Drosophila melanogaster: one gene and its partners. The gene in region 1 interacts genetically with each later gene. Each region holds a gene or a part of one and is shown in the gene's direction. Other genes may lie near its edges.

Region 1 (6,514 bases):
CCATCAATCAAGCTGCTGCCGGTTAGACGGTAGGCGTTACACTGGCTTTTCCCGGAGAGGAGCAGAGTGTCCGGATAGCGAGCCGGAGTTCATTTCAATCATTAGCGTGCCAAGTCAGCCAGCTCCTGTTGATGCTGTCAAATTAATAAAGAGCCCAGGCTGACCAAGGGTTGGCCAACGGGACGGAGCAAAAAGCGGAACAGGCAACAGACAACTCCCCCACAATTGTAGGCTCACACAGCGAGAAAACTCCATTTTGTTCATTGTTCAATGCTCGGATAATAATAATTGTTTAAATAAATACAGGATGTTACTTAGTTAAAAAACTACAACACCTCAGTCCGCAAATCACTCCAATTATTTGTAAATTCCAAATGAGACTTTTGAGAACATATTTCGTTTCCGGTGCCTTTCTCGAGCATTCCCACACGCTTTAAGTCACTGCCGCTCATAATGCCCATAAAAAATTTGTCATCATTAGCCGAAGAGAATGACGCTGACGTACCGGGGTCCGCCCATCTATCAATGTGTGTATCTGGGCACCAGTAGCAAGGACACTTAAAGATATTGCCCCGACTGGGTCGTCGTGCTGCATATTAGTCGGCAGCTTAAAGCGTTCGACTGATTGATTATGTATCATCGAGAGGCAGTGGGACACTGGGCAAAGGCCACTCGCTTTAAGGCTTTAAGCCGCCCATTAGGGTTATTAAATATGCCGCTTTGTGGGTGTACGCTCGTATGCGGGCTATTAGGAATGATAATGGATTGCGAATATTAATTTCTTTGCATGATGGAAAGAATCAACAAAGAACAATGCGTTTAATCTTTATAGACACGCAGCCGCAGGAGAGGGTCGGACAATGCCTTGTGCCAATAATGATAACCGGAAGCCATTAAAGGAAGTTTCAATACAAGAAACACTCTCCCACGCACACACACACACACGCACGCTCTCACACAAACGCATGAATGCCTCTATAGGCAGCTTAAGGCTCTGCACTTTCCTTTTTGTGTTTTGCACTGCGCGAAAAACTAGGACTTACGACGGGGACCATTGAAAAGTAATTTTTAAACATATTTAATCATACGTATCAATTAACATAAACTTGTGTGAAATTATAGATTTTAATTGCTCTTAAACAAAATAAACAACTTCTTAGGAAAATATTTATTCCCTCTAAATAACGTACCCCGATTCCCATCCATTTCTTCCGTGCAGTAGTGGCTGTAGTTGGGCCTGTTGTTTGCCTTCCATTTCCATTGCATCGTCGGCGGCAACGGCGATATTGTAATTTTTATTCCTCTTTGTGCCATTCAGGCGGCAAGCAGCAAAGGCGAATCCTGCGAAAGGAAGCCGTCCTGCAAGTCGAGCGTTCAATTCCCTTTCAATAAGGAAGTGGATGTGGAAGCAAGTAGGTGTGGGTGTGTGTGTGGCACCGCACACGCACCTTGCAATCTTGCTAATGTTTTTCCAGAGAGCGCGTCTTAAGAGCCACCTGCAGTTAGCAGTTTGCAGTTTGAGCTCCGCAAACAGCCGTCGGGTCGATGCGGAAGTCAGGCTAGAAATCCGACCCTGGCTTAGGTCACACCACCATGATGCCACGCCATGCCACCGCGCCAGGGGCATAATGCAGGCCGTCAGGCAGACAAGTTGAGGCGCCAAGTTTTCGGGAAATCGGGGGGCGGGCACGACGTCGACCATCAATGGCACACACTCGCATTTTCAATTGATTAAACATCAAACGCCCAGGCATGGGTTTGAGTATGTATAGCCTGCATTTTTTACGTGCCGCAGCGCAAAAATGCCAGGGAATATTATCCGAGAGCATTATGTTGATGCCGATATATACTCGCACAATATGAAATTCCATTGCATTTTATAGGCAGGCAGCCAAGGAAAACAAAAAACATAGGAGGAAACGTAAGAAGTACAAAGTCGAGTATTGCGACTATGGGATACCAAGTTATTAATTTTATATTTTAAACATATGTTGCATACCTAAGTGCGTTTCTGTTGATGCGAAACCGCTTACCTTTTCGAGCTTATAAGTTCATATTTGTGTTCTATATCTTTTCAAGTTTATGTGTATGCCAAAACTCAGCATACCCCTGTAAGGGGTTCAGAAATCAAACACACACACAGGCAGAAACACAATGGAAGGCAGTAAAAACCTGCGGCAGGCCATTGTGAGGCATAAACAAAAGATGCAGCAGATGGAAGGTGGAGCTGCTGGATCGGCCAGAATAACAAAATACCGCAGACAAAAACCGAAATCTGTTCGAGCGTGGAAAAGGTGAGTTGCCAAACCACTCTCCATTCCCCCTGCCGACTTACACATTCTCAGGCCCAAGTACAAGTGGGTAGTTTTAGTTGGGATCAGCCTTTAGAAATGTGGCAAAGCAAAATTTATAGCTTGGAAATTAATAACAAAAAGCACACAATGAACTAGTGCATATATACCCGCCAGGCCATCCAAAGGGCTCTGAATAATAACGTTCCGCACTCTGAAGTGTATTAGACAACAGTGCGTATGATGAATGCCATCGGAGGACTTTCGAAACAAAAGGGGATTAATTGTATGCGAAAGGTGGCCACCTTCCCACCCACTAATACGGGGGGAAACAAAGGGATAGGGAATTTTATTGTGTTAATTCTGCGGTTTCCTTACTTCGGCAGAACACTTTTAAAATTCCCCAATGTGCAGTAATTATGAGCATGCAAACAATGTGAATTTCCTAGGCATGAGGATATCTTTAAAGCATTAAGTTATTGAGCTCCTTAACGCATTAGAATGAAGAACATCGAACATACATTTTAAGGAACCTAGTATAACCTTATATAGAAGGAAAGCAGATACATTAATTCACTCTGAATCAAGAATAGGTACATATGTATGTTCCCAGATGGACAACTCAAATCTTGTAATTTCACAAAGCAAATAGTACAACAATTAAAGTAGATAATGACAAAATTACTTGCAACTTATGATAATTGCAGTGACATTTGCAGTCCCGCTGTGAAAACAAATGTTTTCGTATAAAAGGGGAAAAACTGGAGGATTAATTCAGTTCCATCACAATGAGTACTTCTGAAAGTCCTTCAAGTCGCTTTCGCGAACTATCCAAGTACATCAATAGTTTGACTAATTTACTTGGCGTGGATTTTCTTTCGCCCAAATTGAAATTTAATTATCGCACCTGGACCACGATCTTTGCAATCGCCAACTATACTGGCTTCACGGTATTTACTATACTAAATAATGGCGGTGACTGGAGGGTGGGACTGAAGGCCAGTCTTATGACTGGTGGGCTATTCCACGGACTCGGGAAGTTCCTGACTTGTCTGCTGAAGCATCAAGACATGAGACGTCTGGTCCTTTACTCACAAAGCATTTACGATGAATACGAGACTCGGGGAGATTCCTACCACAGGACCTTGAATTCGAACATAGATCGACTCCTCGGCATCATGAAGATCATTCGAAACGGATATGTATTCGCTTTTTGTTTGATGGAACTCCTGCCATTGGCCATGCTAATGTACGATGGAACCCGGGTTACTGCGATGCAGTATTTAATTCCGGGTCTACCGCTTGAGAACAATTATTGCTACGTAGTCACGTACATGATTCAGACGGTAGGAGCCACTAAAGCTGTTGAGATTCTGTCAACACTTCCTCCCTCTCCTAACCAAGTTATTTTCGTCGATTGCAGGTGACAATGCTCGTGCAAGGAGTCGGATTCTACTCCGGTGATTTGTTCGTATTTCTCGGCTTAACGCAGATCCTAACTTTCGCCGATATGCTGCAGGTGAAGGTGAAAGAGCTAAACGATGCCCTGGAACAAAAAGCGGAATACAGAGCTCTAGTCCGAGTTGGAGCTTCTATTGATGGAGCGGAAAATCGTCAACGCCTTCTCTTGGATGTTATAAGATGGCATCAATTATTCACGGAGTAAGAAACACTTAATTTCTCCTTTTAAAAAATAAATAAAATCAAAAAGGAACGGCTTATCATATGTCATTTCTCCCATACATTTAGCTACTGTCGCGCCATAAATGCCCTCTACTACGAATTGATCGCCACTCAGGTTCTTTCGATGGCTTTGGCCATGATGCTCAGCTTCTGCATTAATTTGAGCAGCTTTCACATGCCTTCGGCTATCTTTTTCGTGGTTTCTGCCTACAGCATGTCCATCTATTGCATTCTGGGCACCATTCTTGAGTTTGCAGTGAGCTTTAGTAAAATTAAGTCTATGAGCACTTAGTTCTTACGCATTCTTATTTGTCTTCAACAGTATGACCAGGTGTACGAGAGCATCTGTAATGTGACCTGGTATGAGTTGAGTGGCGAACAGCGAAAGCTTTTTGGTTTTTTGTTGCGGGAATCCCAGTATCCGCACAATATTCAGATACTTGGAGTTATGTCGCTTTCCGTGAGAACGGCTCTGCAGGTGAGTAAGTGGGCTTTTAGTTTATAATACCACATTGGATTTTCGTATACTTTTAGATTGTTAAACTAATTTATAGCGTATCCATGATGATGATGAATCGGGCGTAGAAGACAGAGAACACTAAAAAAAAAAAAATCTGACACGCATTACACAATATCTTGATACACAATAATTCTAAAGAGATATGCGAGTTTTTAGATTCGTTGAACAGTATGCATGCAGTATAGAAAGTATTTTTTCTCAATCAGGACCATTAGCTAGTGGGAATTACAAAAGCTAGTTTATGCACTCAGACGCACCCACGTAGTTCAAATTTGATTCAGAAATTGCCACGCCCACCAATCGCCTATACTATTACTATTAAAACTTTTGGTTAATCCAAATGTTAGCCCGGAATCAGCTTACAAATTTTATTCAGCCAACTTTGAAATGCTCTTCTCCCACTTTGCTCCTGATGAACTCGTCGTCGGGATTTTTTCTGCTGCCATTAACCTTGGCCACTAATTACCAACACACAGAGCTGAATTTATGGCATCGGTTTATGGAGCCCCGACTCGAAAACATTAATTGTGCGTCTCATTAAGGGGAGTTTCTTATGCACAAAACATTTAATACATTTCGCATACACGCATAAAAATTTAATTTATTTTGAAATGGTGCGTTCACTTCCCCGATATTTGGCCGGCGGACATTAATAGCTCCTGACCAGGCCATGAATAATGGGCATTTTATAAATGTGGTCGGGACAATGGCCCGGATGCTTGGATAAAAAATAATAACAATAATTGTAACGTCGTTATAATGCAGTCGTAATTAAGTACACCGTTGTTGTACGGACCTTCCGCCACCCAGCGACTATAAAAACGAAATGATTTTAATAAAATCAACAGTCGAAAGGACAGAAAGGACCAGAGCAACAGTTTGGTCAGCGGACTCATCGACCTCTTGGATTCAGATTTACGACCGCTTCGCATTCCATAATTTACTCATTTTTCATGCGCTATTTAATTACGCTAAATTATGGCCGCAAAGGGTTGAGCGGTTGTTTGTTTATGGCCAGTATAACACTCAAAAGTAGAGGTGATGCTGTACATCATTTGGATACAAATACAAACAGGCCTAAAATCAAAGGCTTTAAAACCCAATACAAAGAAGGCGGAATACTGGAGGCGAGTATTGTATTGACTATCTGATATCTGTTACGACGGAGACGGGGAAGGATATTTCAAAGCAATACAATCCTGTTTACGACTCTTAAAATGTAGAGGCATGCTTAAACTAATATAAGGGTGGAAACTTACATTTATGGAACGTACAACAAATAGGGATATTTTAGTAAATGGGTTAATAGCCCAACTTAAGCTGGCTGGAATTTACCTTTGGACCAAAGGTTTAGTACAGTTTTTGAAGAAATACAAAAATAATCACAAAATATCGATATAGGGCTCTTCATCTCGATAAATCGAAAAAGTTTCGCACTCTGTCCCATCCAGTTCCGCTCCAAGTAATGCAATTTGCTCGCTTGTTGGCTGGCAGATAACAAAACTCATTTACAGCCTGTCCACCGCAATGACGCTGAATCGTGAAATCGTGGAGCCGGTGGGGAGTGGCAGTGGCAAGTGGGGCCACTCGACACTCGGATGGAGGCTCTTAGCGTCAAGACACTTTGTATCAAATGCAGCGACGCCGACAGACAGCCAGCCAGCCTGCCATGCAATACATTTTCTAATGCTTGTTTTGAATCATATTTAGGAGCGGACCAGGTGGAAGGGGAGGCAAGGCGGGCAAGGCGGCCAGGTCGCCAGCTGGCAAATAAAATAAATTAGTTGCAGTTGAAAGGTGGCTCAGACACAAAAGTCAACACGCAACGCGCGATGGAACCGCAAACAAACGCCAGCTGCTGGGCGCAGATAAAGTGGCAGGCAAACATGCCCAAGGAGCAGGACGAAGGATGGAGGATGGTGGATTGGGGACTGAGGACGGCGGACGGCGGACACCGGAGGTGGGAGTTGAGATGGAGAAGCTCTAGACGCGCTGGAAGGACCTATGGCAAATCAGCTGC
Region 2 (8,461 bases), about 15 Mb from region 1:
AAATTAGTTAATAAATTATGGAAGTAATTTCAAAGGTAACCTAGAATACAAAAACAATTCCGTATAATATTTAAAGCATATCATTTTTAAAGAATATTTGGCTTTACATTTTACATTTATAACCTATTAAGTTAATTGCTTCCTAAACTTAGTCGTTGTGTATACCATAACAGGCTTCTGAAATGCACAGTACCACTGAATAAATGCATTTAAATAATATGCTAAATGCATTTGCTGCGCTCACTTTGGCACTTGATATTAGGTTGGTGCACAAGCAAATAAATGAATATACATATACATTGAATGTACATATATGCACAATGAGTGGGCAATTGTAATTGCTGTAAAATAATGTAGGATGGATGCCAGCTGCTTATGGCACCTTCGATTCCACAAGTGATTGCATGATCGTCATTCGGTTCTTTGGAGGCTTATGCAATCAATCCGTTGACACTCTCACGTGATCCCTGTCCCCCAGTAGATGATTCACATCAATCGGCTGATAGTGCAAATGTCACTTGCTTTCCATCGACTACGAGCGATTCATTAAACGCTGTCAGGCGGAACATAATTGATATTCCATTCAATCGTCGTAGGGAGTGAGAACCAAGTAAGTGGGCTGGCTGGACATTTAGAAAGCAAATCCCACAAGGTTAAAGACATTTCCGCCCCAAGACAAGAGCTCCAACTCCATGGCAAATGCGTTGGAAAATTAGCACTGCACAATGCCAGTTGTGGAATCAAGTGGGTGGGAGTATCGTGGGATTTCGCAGCTTCCTGCTAATTGCAAACTTTTGCACTTTCAAGTTGCCGCCAATTACAACTCATTTGCGGAGCTATAAACTTATGGATTTTGCCATGTGTGTAGAAGGGGACTCTAAATTGGAGCACTTTGGCACTTTGGAATGCTTAAAGAAATTAATTTGATTAAGATAATATGCTAAGTTTCTACTTTAAATAGTTTTAAAAATGAATAATAAACACAGAAGACTTAGCAAATTACCGCACTAAAATCGCTCTTTTTTATCGCAAATCAAAGTTGTTTTCAATGAATAAGATAGTTTTTAATAAAGAAGTTAATTTATTTAATTAAGAATGTCTATTTAATGCGTACTTCAAAAAATGTAAATCCCAAGAATACCATTTATACCCAACCCAAAACATTGATATTGTCATAGAGTTGTCACAAAAAATGATTATCATAATCAAATTATTCTATATTACTGCCCATTAAAGTTGTTGTTGAACGATTAAGGCAGTTTTCCATGAGAACAACATGTTTGCAACGCTTGGCAGTTTAATATGATTATTAATCAACCAACGACATCGGTTATGACAACGTATTTTCAGAAAACAATTTAAGGTTACGTACTTAAGACAAATTGCATTGCTGTAAAATGAACTGTAACTATAAAGATAAAAGCATCACGCTTGTCAAAATATTTGAAGACTTCATCAAGATAGCCCATAAATGAAAATGTTTAGACAGGATAATTTATTTAAATAGTATATGCTATGAACATGGAACCAAATCGATCAATATATATAGGACTATATATTGGCTTTGAAAAGCGTACTTTGGACACTCATTTGTCGTCTTCAAGTCCAAGAAGTATGTACCCAGACCAGGATTACCTCAATCTTAAGCCCCTTGAGCACTTAGGCATTTTCAAAACTATTTGGGCCAGCAATAATTGGTAGCAAACGAAATTGAGAATTTCCTCTTTCGCCTCCAGTTCGAACATAATCAAATTGTTGGCTACGCTGGCACTTCATTTTCAATTTTAATTTACATTCGCTCAGCAGAAAATCGAAGAAACCTGGTCGAACATACTGAAACTTATGGCAAAGTATCTGTATCTAAACGATCGGCTGCCGTTGTCAAGCGCGCTTCAATTTCCACTCGCGTCTCGCCGCAACTCGCTTTTCTGTGTCATTTTCCACTGGCGAGCTGGAGAGGTTCTGTCTGTCTGTCTGTCTGTCTGTCTTACATATATGTATGTATGTTTCTCGACTCAAGTCAACTCAACGCAACTCGAGTCGATGGCGCAGTCACGTGTTTTGGGTTTTGGCATTGTTTAAGTTGTTTCTCTGTCTGTAGTTTTCTTGTTTGTTTTTTTCATTTTTTTTTTGTTTTGTGCCATTGTTATGCATTATGTTTTGCACTCGGTTTCAGTTTCGATTTCTGTTTGTGTCAACAAACGACCAACTGAAAGGGGCGTTGCCGAGCCCAGTTAGCCGGTCAAGGTGGCAGAGCATCTAACTTAAATGGATTTATTGGCTAATTGAAGAATGCTTTACGCACTACAAATATTCAGATTACAAGGCAACGAAAATATTTCAGATTTGATGGATACTTAGATACTTCATAGATATTGAGACCAGAGTCTGGAAACTGTGTATACAATCATTCACTGTAAAAACAAGGTTTAAGTTGCATGAACATCATTAAAAAAGAGTATTTACTAGATTTACTTATGAAGAAGTATTTTACTCGATGCTTACGCCTAAAATGTATCTTTTAAGGTTTTGACAGTGAAGCCATAATAAAAATGGATACTAGCATTATTTAACGCCTTATGTCTTTACAAAACTCAACTGCTTCTAATTTTAGAATAGGATAACCTTATAGCAAATAAGTTATAAATTACTTTGAAAATTTAAAATAAAATAAATCCAGAAAATACAATTTTCCAAAATATAATAGAAATATTTGCTCTTCTCACTCAAGCTAATATCAAACCTCGCGAGTCTGGCTTACTCTTTCCCTAATTAGCCATCAACACTTGCATTGGTTCTCCTTGAAATTGGAAAACGTAATTGCCGCAATTAGGGAAGAAAAGTTTCCAAGGAAAGGTAACAAGTGCTAATAGTGGAATATAGGCCAGGTGTCGCATAAGTCATTTCGAAATTCAATTACAGAAGTATAGAAATAAGTTCTACAAGTCCAAGTGCATAACGTTTAGGTAGGTGATAGTAGGTTCTTTGGGTAGCTAATGCGTATCTATGGGTTATGTATGGTGTTTGCTAATATCAATTTCAAAACCAAAATGGGTTACACTTTTATAGAAGTGGTTGCAAATTATAGAAAAACTGAGGATATTCCTTTACTTCCCCCTAAAGAAAGGCAATTAAACGATCTTGTTTATATTCCTAGTCCAAACTTGTTGGTACATCAAATGCATTTCAATGCATTTTGGCCCATTTGGGCTATGCGAACAATTAAGTCTGATTGAAATATAGGTGTACGATCAAAACGACTTGATGACGAGGGTCCAGATGAACAAAAGCCAGTTATACCGCATTCGTGCGTCCGACTATGGCCGAAACTGCGTGGAGTGTAGAGCGTAAAGTGGAAACAATTTATAATACTCAAATACATGCAATTATTGATTTTATAAGTAATGCCGTGTTATCTGATTGTTTTGCCATCCGGCCTGCCGCCTCCTCAACCGCAAATGCTGCTGCTATGGCTGAGTGAAAAATATTCGCACGTTCCGTCCGATTTGAGGAGGGGATTCCGGACTTCAGTGTGGAGACGATTCAGTTGCGTCGCGACTGTGAAAGCCTCTGGTCTTCAGCTCGAAGGAGGCAATCGGATTGAAAGGATTTCCGTGCACGAATCGAGTAGAGATCGAAACATTGCCCAGAGATGCAAGTACCTCGGGTTAAGCTGCTCATGGGGTCGGGAGCCATGTTCGTGTTTGCCATCATCTATGGCTGGGTTATCTTTCCCAAAATTCTCAAGTTTATGATATCGAAGGTGGGATCGATGAGGGAGTTATACCCGGCTTAAATCTTATAATAGCTTCCCACCCAATAGCAAGTAACTTTAAAGCCCGGATCGGATGTTCGGGAACTCTGGTCCAATACTCCATTCCCACTGCATTTCTATATCTACGTTTTCAACGTAACCAATCCGGATGAGGTATCCGAAGGAGCTAAGCCACGGCTACAGGAAGTGGGTCCCTTCGTTTTCGAGTGGGTTTCTATATATTGGATTGTGTAGGATAGCAAGTAACTAACACTGTTTCTCCCTGCTTTGAGTGAGTGGAAGGACAAGTATGATTTGGAGGATGATGTCGTAGAGGACACGGTCAGCTTCACCATGAGGAACACGTTCATTTTCAACCCGAAGGAGTCGCTGCCACTTACGGGCGAGGAGGAGATTATTTTGCCGCATCCCATAATGCTGGTAATTATTAAATGGTTTAGTTCATATTTTTTGAAACTATACAAGTTTCCAAACATTTTCGTTAAATCAATCATATTCTTCCATTTCTTCATATAAAATTCAATCCCATACCCTGCTATACCTTACTAAAAATGGTTAGTAAATTTAAAATCAACACTCACTGCATCAGCGACTTTATGGCAAACGTTGGGAATTAGAGATTCTAGTCAGAGCTATGGAAAACTGCACTTAAGGCGCCAGCTAATGACCACGTGGCCCATTGTTAGCCATGTGAATTATGCAAATCGCATTCCCAGCCCCAAAATAGCAGCCACAAAATTAACCCATTAAGAGTGATAGAAATGGATTTCAGAATGGCGTCTTTTGTGTTCTGTAATTCTAAGCTGAATTTAGTCTGCGATTTATTGGCGGCGATTATATGTTTTTCCCTTTCCAATTTTTACAGCCTGGCGGCATTTCGGTTCAAAGGGAAAAGGCTGCCATGATGGAGCTGGTTTCCAAAGGATTAAGCATTGTCTTTCCGGATGCCAAAGCCTTTTTGAAAGCTAAATTTATGGATTTATTTTTCCGCGGCATCAACGTAGATTGCTCCTCGGAAGAATTCTCCGCAAAGGCGCTCTGCACCGTGTTTTACACGGGAGAAATTAAGCAGGCCAAACAAGTCAATCAAACTCACTTTTTGTTCTCGTTTATGGGTCAGGTGAGTTCTTAATACTGCCAATTAATACTACTTAAGTGACTGAAATTTCAATTAACATCGAAAAACAGGCCAATCACTCGGATTCTGGCAGATTCACTGTCTGTCGCGGAGTGAAAAATAACAAAAAGCTTGGAAAGGTAGTGAAATTCGCCGACGAACCGGAGCAAGACATTTGGCCAGATGGCGAGTGCAACACCTTTGTGGGCACTGATTCTACGGTCTTTGCACCGGGCTTGAAAAAGGAGGATGGCCTGTGGGCATTCACGCCGGATTTGTGTAGATCCCTGGGCGCTTATTATCAGCACAAGTCATCCTACCATGGCATGCCATCGATGAGATACACCCTGGATTTGGGGGATATACGTGCCGATGAGAAGCTTCATTGTTTCTGCGAAGATCCCGAAGATCTGGACACGTGTCCGCCCAAGGGCACTATGAATCTGGCGGCCTGTGTTGGTGGTCCATTGATGGCATCAATGCCTCATTTCTATCTGGGCGATCCAAAGCTGGTTGCCGACGTTGATGGTCTCAATCCGAATGAAAAGGATCATGCGGTCTACATAGACTTTGAACTTGTAAGCAAGCAATTTGAGTAATGAATATACATGCATATTATCTATTTCTACTCCCTTCAGATGTCTGGAACACCTTTTCAGGCTGCCAAGCGTTTGCAGTTTAATCTGGACATGGAGCCAGTGGAGGGCATTGAACCCATGAAGAATCTACCCAAGCTGATATTGCCCATGTTTTGGGTGGAGGAGGGCGTGCAGTTGAACAAGACCTACACGAACTTAGTGAAATACACACTATTTCTGTAAGTTGGAATCTACATTGTTAAGAGAAATTATATAACATATTTTAATTATCTTTTTAGGGGCCTAAAAATCAACTCAGTCCTGCGCTGGTCCCTCATTACTTTCTCCCTGGTGGGCCTGATGTTTTCCGCCTATCTTTTCTACCACAAATCCGACAGTTTGGACATAAACAGCATCCTCAAGGATAACAACAAGGTAGACGACGTGGCCAGCACAAAGGAGCCCTTGCCTTCAGCAAATCCAAAGCAATCTTCTACTGTGCACCCTGTTCAGTTGCCCAATACTCTGATTCCCGGCACGAATCCCGCTACCAATCCAGCTACCCATCACAAAATGGAGCATCGGGAGCGCTACTAATACCCCAAATGGCATTCTCCAGCGATCTCTGCACCATAGTCGTAGTCCACTGCACCTGTGTAGTCCAATATGAGCTAATCAACTGAGACAGATCTAAGCACATTCGTCTGGGAAACTGGTCGCTGGCCAATGGAGTGATCGCTAATCGATGACCACTGATCGCAGATGACAAGATCTGTGCGCTCCACTGACACCGATCATCGTGGATTCAGTAATAAAAAATAAAAAAACGCAGAAGTTCAGAAGTTCGAGTTCAGCGATCACAAGAGTCGGTGAATTGACAAATCGTTTTTAAACAATGGCTGCAATGTTTGCAAACCGAAAACAATTGCGGAGACAGGCGGAAAAGTTGAAGTGAAAATATCTCAACTTGTATAGCGTTGATTAATGATTTGTAAACAGTATGCAAAAATTACACTTTTTTAATTAATTTTAATGAAGACGAATTATAAGTACTTGTTCTGTTGGCCCCTTAAAGTGAAGTGTTTGTAGTTGTAAATGTAAAATCAAACAAAGAGGGGGCAAATAAATGGTATTTATTTGGCTTAATTTATGCAGTTTCATTTATATAATATTTTCTCATTAGTATAAATAAGTAGGAATTTTAATACTATTTCCCATTTAATAGATTATTTTTCTATGCCATTCCACATCTCATTGGCCCTCGAGGATCTCCAACTAATCTATCTTCCAAAATGGTTGTGTCCTTAGGCAGTTCGACGAACTCCAACAGATCCGCCAACTGGCCGCAATTGAGTTCCGCTTCCTCGACAAAGAAATCCTCATCCAGATCCTTGATAAAGATCTCCTTTCCCTTCTCGTGACTTATCTCCAAGTAGTTGAGATCCTTCAGATGGGGCAACATGTCCATGTGATTCGAAGTCAAGTTGTCGTAGGTAAAACTCAATCTTTCCAATCCCTTGGCTGAGGTAATTTTGGGTAAATCCGCGAGATTTACAATGTCCGTTACATCCAAGTCAACGAGCTTACTGGCCTTGGACAGAAAGTCAAGTCTATACAGATTGGTATTGGCCAAGTAAAGATGCTCCAGATCCTGGGGCTGCGAAATCTTCAACTCATGCAGCTTTGGGTTTGCCTCCAATTGGACACCAATCACTCGACCATCCAACTCCACTGACTCGAGATCACAATTGGTGGCCTCCAGCTCATTGATTTTAGCTGATAGATGGAGTCTTCTGAGTTGAGGATTAAACGAGAGCGAGAGATGATCTATTTCACGAAATATATTGAAAGGAATCCGCACTAGTTGATTACTTTGGGCTGAGAATTCTGACAAATGTTTCCGCTGATCCCGGAAAAGTTCACCAGGCAGTTCCACTAGCTGATTACTGTCCACATTGATGGATTTAAGCGATCCCAGTTGTGAGAAGATGTGCTGGGATAAAGTGATTAACCGATTGTTGGATAAGTTGATCTTCTGAAGGTTCTTCAGGGGTCGAAATATGGTGGTGGGCAGATCCTCCAATTGATTGTCCGATAAGTTGAGTTCCTCCAGTTGAGTGGCCAATTCAAAAGTGTTGCTATCCAAAACTCGCAGGGCATTACCTCCAAAATTCAATCTTTTCAAGTTCTTGGCACCATCAAAACATACACTTTCAATTTGCTGAAGCTCACACTCCAATACATGGAATTCCACAAGTTGAGGAAGGTTCAAAAAGATTTTTCTCGGCAAATTGGCCAAATCGGAGCTGTGAAGAACGAGAGTTTCGTACTTTCTCAAATGTTTAGTCACATTTTCTGAGAAGTAGGCAACTGCTGAAGCAGAAGGGTATTTCAAATTCGTGCACGTATTTTCGCGGCAATCCAAACTATCAATTGCAATTTCCTCGAGTTTTTGTGACTCACAAGTCGCAAAAGCAATCACAGCGATTAAAATATAGTTCAGATAGTTTAGCATCCGCATCTTGGCTTTAAAAGACTGAGCAATTTTTGGCTTGGGGGGCATTTTAATACAAAACCAGAACACAACCTTCAGAAACCAGCCAAAAAAAAAAACAAAAAAAAGCGAAAACAGGTCTTTAGGCGCTAGTTTGTTTGTTTGTTTTTCTGTCGACCCCCTCCACAATCTGGTTCGATTTTTTGTCAATAAAATTTTATTGTTCCTCTCAATGAATATATTTGCTTTGTTTTTGCTTCTACGATTCGCTGGGAAATATTATCAGGCTTTTGTCATAATACCCGGCCGATAAGCACGATCTCGCGATCCTCCACTTCATAACACATACTCGTAGTTATGGTTTATAGTTTATGGCCCAGTTGTGCCAACTGATATGGAATGGCTGCTGTTTTGTGGACGATGTATTGCCATTGCAAAAGTAAGCCAATGTATGGCTACATTACGTCTGGCCTGTCGCTCTGATAATCATGGGAATT
Region 3 (7,610 bases), 6.0 Mb from region 1:
TCCCAGTCCCAGTCGCAGTCCCATTCGCAGTCGGAGCCGGAACCGCTGTCGGAACCGGAGTCAAGCAGCCCCGGATGCCGCCAGCCGCGTGAATCCTGCTGGCCTTATCAGATCAGATAGAAACCCGCCGAGGACACACATCCACGAGAGACACACTCATAATGGGCACAAAAACCCAACCACAATTGGCCAAAGGTGAGTGGAAGAGAGAAAGTTAAGTAGGTCCGAAATGCTATCAAGTGGTCACTTTTCATGGCGATGAATATCAAGCTTATATTGAAAATAGAAATTGGCGTAAATTAAATTGTTTAAAATGGCACACATTTAGCTAATAAAGATCTATTCTATAAAAACGTTAATATAAGATATTTCAAAATAAATCTGAGCCAACGCCATGCGAATTGTATTTTAAAGGAGAGTTGTGCTGTTATTACATTATTTATTAGAAATATATCCGATTATTTAACTCTAAAGAAAAATAATAAACATAGGAAATGCAGTATAAGATTTTTGTTAGGTGAGGTCAGGTACGCCCCTTCTTATCGTTTGCTGGATTTTTTTAATACTTGGTCATCCCCAATTCTATGATAAATGCAGACCCATATCTGTATTGGTAGATTTACCTTTGATACTAACAATTAAAACAAAATTAATGCGTTCAGCGATAGAACAAAACTCGACTTACGAATCAATAACCAGTATAAGCACGATGTCCGCTACAAATTGATTTTGCTCAAAGCCTTTGGCATTTCAGATTGGGAAATCTCGCTGCCTCGGGCAGCCAAAAAGTTGAACAGTTGTTACTGATTTCGGCCAGATAGTGACCCAGTTCTTTGGCGTTACTAAACCAATTGCAGGGAGAGACGACGCGGAACTCTGACAAAAAGCAGCCCGTTGCTCGATTTTGGCCCTGACACTATTCCGCAAAGGTACCGTTAGCCAATGGCCCAAACATGTGCATGTGTATGTGTGTTTGTATATGCGGGGGAGTCGAAGTGTGTATGTGTAAGTGCGTGAGTGCCTTGAGCTTGGTCAAAACGGCACTTCGATTTATTAGGCGCCTTGTTTCGGCCGCTCAATGAATGAAGTGAATGAATGCGAATTATTCCGATTCATGAGTAGGGGTGGGTACTTGTTGACTTGTAAGTGTGTGCACATAACTTTGTGTAATACACTAGTCAGCAAAATGTAGAATATGTCGTCATTTAAACACTTCATTCAGATAATTACAAAAAATATAATTTAAATTGCGGTGTATATGTGCGGTCGAATTAGTTTTTATACAAAATGATCAAAGATACAAACTAACCTTTTGATGTGAAACTAATCCAAGAGTGTCGAATCAGGAAAATTTGTAAAAATTTTTTATTGACTTGAGACAAGTGTCTTGACGACCCACCCAGCTTTAAAGTTGCCAAGTGAAGTTTGTGACCCTTAAACTCAATTTTGTTAAAGTTGTTTTACAAATAAAACAAATTGAGAAACTGCAAGGCGCCACAACTTATTTCTAACGAAAACGAAAGTAGGGAATGTTCAAGTAATATTGAACTATTTATAACTATAATGTTTGCAATTGCTTTTGATAATAATAAGACTATGTACTTATGTTCATATGTATGTTGTACATGAGCGACACGTAAAGTCTTCAAAGAATTCTGGGAATGCGAATCTGTGCCCACAATAACCGCAAAATAAACTTACACAATCCATCCTTTCGAAATTCATTATTTAATAGGAACTTGAATAATATGTACATTCAGCGTTTGGCGCTTCGCTGATTAAGTTTGCCTTGTTCCGAAAAAAAAAACGTAATGCAATGTGTACGGGGTGTGATTACCATTTCCCGCCCCCGGCAATCATTCATTAACCCATATGCGCCACTTCTTCAAGCGCCAATAATGTGCTTTTTTTGTTTTGACATTGACATTGCTGCTTTTTTGAATGAAAAGAGAGTAAGAGAGAGCACGCTTTCTCTTGCTTGTTCAATTCACGTGACAGAGCGAGGAAGAGCACCTCCAATTTGTTTGTCGACTCACTCGTTCTCTTTCAATTTGTTCCCTTGTTTTTTTTTCTTAGGGTGACTTACGAAATTTGCTCATTTTTATGCTTGACAAACTTGGGAAATTGTTGACAGATTTTTTGCCGCAACGAACGCGGTAATACTCTTTCGATTATCAATAATAAGTGATTAATTTGTAATATATATTTTGTTAAATTATTCTTTATTAGTATTAATATAAAAAAAATTAAAAAATCGTAGGATTAAATAAAATTATTAATACAGAATATAAACATTTTTAAATATATACGGCTCTATTTCCAACACCGCAAAACCATTAGGGTGGACCCTGATAGCATAATCGTTTATGTGAATATTACTCATACGACCCATAAGCCCATCAAAATACTTCAGCGATTGCACTGCGACCCTAAGGCAATCGATCAAGTCAGCTCGGGTCCCATTACTAGAGCTTTTTAAAAGATTTCTACGTTTCACGTTAATCCTCTTTTCAAAAAGCCAATTCTGAGAGTGGAAATTATCACCTATTGTGCTTTGAACCTTTGAACCACAGATCACTTGAGTTGGAATGATAAACTTTGGATATCGAAGCTTTTCCATAGCTCTCTTTTAAGACAAGCTGGTTTTAACCGTTTGCGCTTGAAGGTGTGCGTGAATCGGTTGCCAAGTCCGGTTGCCTTGGCAGCGCAGTCGGCAATTTGTTGTCATCGTTTTACTCGCATTTCGCTCAGCTGACGGCGTCGCAGTCGCCGTCGCTGTCGCCGTCTCGGTCGCCGTCGCCCATTTTGGCCGCAGTTTGCGCGCGGCAGTTGGCCATTTGGCTTTGGCGTTAGCCGTTTTTGTTTATCGCACTGCGGACCGCGTAGCACTTCGCGTTGCCTTGGGCCAATTAAGTGGAATATAACTCCCTGCTTTGCGAAAAACTCAAGTTGCAGTTTTAAAATAAGGTGTTTCCGCGTTTTCACAAAAAAATACGAGGAAAACTAATAAAAGGCAAAAAAAAATAAGCAACAAATGGAAAAATCAAACGCAAGCGGTGCAAAATAAGTGCAAGAAATGTGCTAAAAATGTACGAAGCTGGGTGGTTGGAGGAGAAGGAGGAGGAGGAGGAGCGATATAGGGGTAGAAGGGGAAGGGCCGAAGAGAGATCATGATGATGCATTTGGCACCTGGCACCGAAAACATGTTCCTCATTTGCCTCTGTTTTGTTGTGCTTTCTTTGCTCCCAGCATAATTATTGAGCATTCATCGATTCTTTTGGCCTTTTCTTGTAGTTAATTTGTTTTCACCCCTGCCCCTTGCAAACCCATCAAAGGTGACGCATGCGAGCGAAGGAAAAGCGAACAGCAAAAACAACTCAAGAAGGCGAAACAAATTGAGAGCAAGGAGCAAATTTACATTCACATGCATGACTCATGTTCGCAGCAGGATATCGTCGTTAAGGAGAGCGGAAGAGTGCATGGGAAAAGAGGGGGAGAGAGAGCGCGACAGAGCTTACCCGGCATTGTTGTTGCTACACAGGGAAAAAAGATAATATTAATATTAATATTATTTTAAAGGTTAAATGGAGATACATAAGTACTTAGATAAATATATGTTAAATTAATAAAAATGGGCTTCAAATAAAACCAGCCCAGAATACCTTATTCATACCACTCCAATTTCCTTAGTGTAGTTGAGAGAGTCCGCTTGGGAGAGGCATACAAAATAATGTGAGAGCGCCAATCAGCTGTAATTCGAAAACGGGCGGAAGTGGGGCCAAATTTTTTGCCGATTGCCTTTATTATCCTTAGCAAAGAGACAAAAACTTTGGACAGAACTTTTCGTCTCAGATTCAATTTCCGTTCTCCCTTACCGTTATGCCTTTCATATCCACCTTTTGCATGCATTCGCCGTGGCCTTGACAACAGTTTTGACATTGACACCCGCCTGCTTTCCACAATTATGAAAGGCAAGAGAGAGTAAAAAGAGCGAACTTTAGTTTGCTGCAGCTTCCTTTTCTTTGTTGCCCAAATAAAGGCCACTTGTTGAATGTGTAAAATGCTTACACACACGCACACACACTCACCCAGTAGAAGCTTTGTGACGCCAGAGCGACTTGCTTACTGCAGATTTGCTCAATCGAGCATAAGGCTGTAAAGTAAACATAAAGTAGTACACATGTCTGCGTATATTTGTAGTCGACTGCTCAACCATAATGCACCCAGATGTACTCACATGAAAATTCCGAGAAAATTCCAAGAAAGCAAGGTGAAAATGTTTGGCATGGATACTGGCAGTAAATACAGTGCGTGCTTTATAAAATGAACCATTAAAAGCAACGGCAAGGGAACCAGAAAGGCGATTCTTGAAAAGTTTTTTCTTGCAACTTAATATTGCCCCAATGATGATATCAAGCTTATGCTTATTATCAAGAACATTCAGATACTTTTCAAAGTTTTTTTAAATTGAAATCTTTCATACACCAGACCGTACAGCAACCAGTATAATTAAAAACCACTGAAAAGCAATTCCAAATTAATTACCAGTTTTTGTTACAATCGGTTTGTTTGAGTTTCAAATTAAAATCTCACACAATAAATAATTATTGTAAGAACTTTTAATTGAACTGCACCACAGCTATTGAACTATATTTGCCTTGTGGAGAACAAAAAAGGAATGACGGGGCATCAGCCAGTTTAGGACAACCTACAATGCTTTTTGGAAGCCAATCAAAAATTTTATTGATATAAATTGTGGGCTTAAAGGGTAAACTGTGTTTATGTTTAAGAAAAATCGATAGAACTATGAGAGCCTATTTATTTGGAATATTGTAACGCGAGTAAATTTTCCTTAATTGCTTTAAAATGTGGGTGTACATATATTTCGTGACGCATTCAGTCCCAAACTCAGTCCTAGTTAAAAATCTCAACAAGTATTTGATATACCCTTTGAAGACGATTCCCCCTGGGTATCCGAGAATCACAGAAGAAATTTGTTTATTTATTTATTGCCCAGACATATGCGTGCAAACACTCAATGTGTGAGGAGAATCGTTTCCAGCTGTCTGGGGCTCTTTGTCAATGGGAGGGGTAGCAGTCTATCAAAATGATGGATGGAACAGTCTTATTGAGCCAGCCCTCCAGGGAAGTTTGTTCGGTGCCGATGGGTTTTCAATTGCATTTTAATCTTTCGGGAGTTAGCAACACGTTAAACTTTCGATTTTCCTCGTAGAATGAAGAGTAATGCGGACGCCCCATATCGTTATTGTTCCACCTATAGCCTAAGCTGGTCATGATCGGGGGCAGGAGATGCAGCGAGGCCGCCCGGCGGCTAAGGAGGCGTCCTGACACTCTGGAACTTTCAGTTCTGGGGGGCCAACCTATCGAAACTGAACTCCAGGAGGACAATGAGCGGACCCCAACAAAGGGAGCCGGAAATGTGGATGAGCCCGGAATAGAAGCTCCTGAAGCTTCGTGCTCTGCGCCCAGCAAAAGAACCCGATGGTTTCAGTTCGCCAGGAGCTCCAAAAATCGAAGGAAACGATTGCACTGTAATGAAGATGAGGATGTTAAGCAGCCGGAAAGAAGGAATTCCGATTTGGAGGGCAGTCCGAGGGCTTGCCTCGCTCAACCGGAGGGCATGAATATAGGCAGCTCTACGCAAACCATTGCCACACCCCTAATGATAGGAGATAGCTTCTACAGCTTGGCGCCGGGAGGAGGCAATCCACCACCCAACAAATCCGATGACCAGGAACTGTATAAGCAGAGAGATCCTTCCGTGACCTCGGAGTCAAAGTCCGTGCCAAGTTTGAGACGTCTTTCCCAGATTAGAAGGCGTCGCAGCTCGTACTATTTTTCGGGTAAAAAGAGATTAAGAATGGAAAATAACTTTAAGGAAAAAATTGTTTGGAAGAGTATAGTTATTTGTAGTATAGAAAACTGTAATTAGGATTATTAATCATATATTAACCACATTATGTTTATTAAAAAATCCTAGCTAAGATATTATTTTTATATTCACAGAAAACGAACGTAGAATTCGAGCCAACGATAAAGAGTTCAATGCCCAGTTCAAATATCATGTAAGTAAATACAATATTAACCGTTCATCTAGAATGCACACTAAATAAAGTTTTTCTATTTGTTTAACTATTATTTATAATCCGCATTAATTTACAGAACAACTACATCAAGACCTCCAAGTATTCGCTGTTCACGTTTCTGCCATTCAATCTGCTGGAGCAATTTCAGCGGCTGGCCAACTTCTATTTCCTCTGCCTGCTGGTCCTCCAGCTGATACCCGCGATATCCTCACTCACCCCAGTGACCACAGCAATTCCCCTGATAGGAGTACTTACTCTGACGGCTGTTAAGGATGCGTATGATGATATTGTGAGTACAAAATACTACGCTGTAACTTCATAATTGCCAATCTGTATTTTCCTTTCAGCAACGTCATATTTCTGACTCGCAGGTAAACAATCGCAAGTCGAAAACGCTGCGCAATGGCAAGTTGGTGGAGGCCAAGTGGTCGGAGGTACAGGTGGGCGATGTCATTCGGCTGGACAACAATCAGTTCGTGGCCGCCGACACCCTGTTGCTGTCCACATCCGAGCCAAATGGTCTGTGTTTCATCGAGACAGCCGAACTGGATGGGGAGACGAATCTCAAGGCAAAGCAATGCCTGACCGAAACCATCGAGCTGGGTGATCGCCATGACTCGCTATGGAACTTCAATGGCGAGATCATTTGCGAGCGGCCCAACAACCTGCTGAACAAATTCGATGGCACCTTGATTTGGCGGGGCCAGAGATTCGCCCTGGACAACGAGAAGATCCTGCTGAGGGGCTGCGTCCTCCGGAACACGCAGTGGTGCTATGGCGTGGTGGTCTTCGCCGGAGTGGACACCAAGTTGATGCAGAACTCCGGAAAGACGCAGTTCAAGAGCACTGGCGTGGATCGCCTGCTCAACTTTATTATCATTGGGGTAGAGTTCTTTTCGACTTCTATTAATCCTACTTATAATTAACATATACTGCATCACCAATTTCAGATCGTCCTCTTTCTGGTGTCGATTTGTGCCCTTTTTGCGATTGGCTGTGCCATCTGGGAGGGCCTGATTGGCCAGCACTTCCAGCTGTATCTGCCTTGGGAGCACATCATACCCAAAGATTACATACCCACGGGAGCAACAGTCATTGGATTGCTGGTCTTCTTCTCGTATGCCATAGTCTTAAACACAGTTGTGCCAATCTCACTCTACGTTTCAGTAGAGGTCTGTATACAATGTCAACCAGTTTATTAAATTCCATTCTGAGAAACAAACACCAATATTCCGTACAGGTTATACGCTTTGTACAGTCGTTCCTCATCAACTGGGATGAGGAGATGTACTATCCGACCACCAATACCTATGCCAAAGCCCGCACCACCACGCTCAACGAGGAGCTGGGCCAGATCCAGTACATATTCTCGGATAAAACGGGCACCCTCACCCAGAACATCATGACCTTCAACAAGTGCAGCATCAATGGGCGCAGCTATGGCGATGTGATTGACCTGCGCACCGGCGAGTTGGTCGAGATTACGGAGGTGAGTGGCGAATT

Evidence for each region.
Region 2: of Or83c (region 1) and Snmp1, changing one suppresses a phenotype caused by changing the other (phenotypic suppression), as found in Drosophila melanogaster (one study listed by BioGRID).
Region 3: of Or83c (region 1) and ATP8B, changing one enhances a phenotype caused by changing the other (phenotypic enhancement), as found in Drosophila melanogaster (one study listed by BioGRID).

The regions. Positions count from the first base shown.
Region 1 is NT_033777.3:6,074,849-6,081,362, reverse strand, and holds Or83c (odorant receptor 83c), read left to right. Parts: upstream 1-3,079; coding exon 3,080-3,637; intron 3,638-3,714; coding exon 3,715-3,953; intron 3,954-4,040; coding exon 4,041-4,230; intron 4,231-4,296; coding exon 4,297-4,452; intron 4,453-4,508; coding exon 4,509-4,559; downstream 4,560-6,514. UniProt on the Drosophila melanogaster protein: Odorant receptor which mediates acceptance or avoidance behavior, depending on its substrates. The odorant receptor repertoire encodes a large collection of odor stimuli that vary widely in identity, intensity, and duration.
Region 2 is NT_033777.3:21,163,320-21,171,780, reverse strand, and holds Snmp1 (sensory neuron membrane protein 1), read left to right. Parts: upstream 1-3,575; 5' UTR 3,576-3,652; coding exon 3,653-3,763; intron 3,764-3,823; coding exon 3,824-3,981; intron 3,982-4,047; coding exon 4,048-4,195; intron 4,196-4,640; coding exon 4,641-4,895; intron 4,896-4,963; coding exon 4,964-5,470; intron 5,471-5,530; coding exon 5,531-5,709; intron 5,710-5,769; coding exon 5,770-6,067; 3' UTR 6,068-6,614; downstream 6,615-8,461. Other genes in the region: CG5810 (uncharacterized protein), read right to left, coding at 6,705-7,991. UniProt on the Drosophila melanogaster protein: Plays an olfactory role that is not restricted to pheromone sensitivity. Has a role in detection and signal transduction of the fatty-acid-derived male pheromone 11-cis vaccenyl acetate (cVA). Not required for sensitivity to general odorants.
Region 3 is NT_033777.3:12,075,160-12,082,769, reverse strand, and holds the start of ATP8B (ATPase 8B), read left to right. Parts: upstream 1-2,841; 5' UTR 2,842-3,089; intron 3,090-5,233; 5' UTR 5,234-5,293; coding exon 5,294-5,864; intron 5,865-6,027; coding exon 6,028-6,086; intron 6,087-6,183; coding exon 6,184-6,396; intron 6,397-6,454; coding exon 6,455-6,991; intron 6,992-7,057; coding exon 7,058-7,279; intron 7,280-7,347; coding exon 7,348-7,596; intron 7,597-7,610.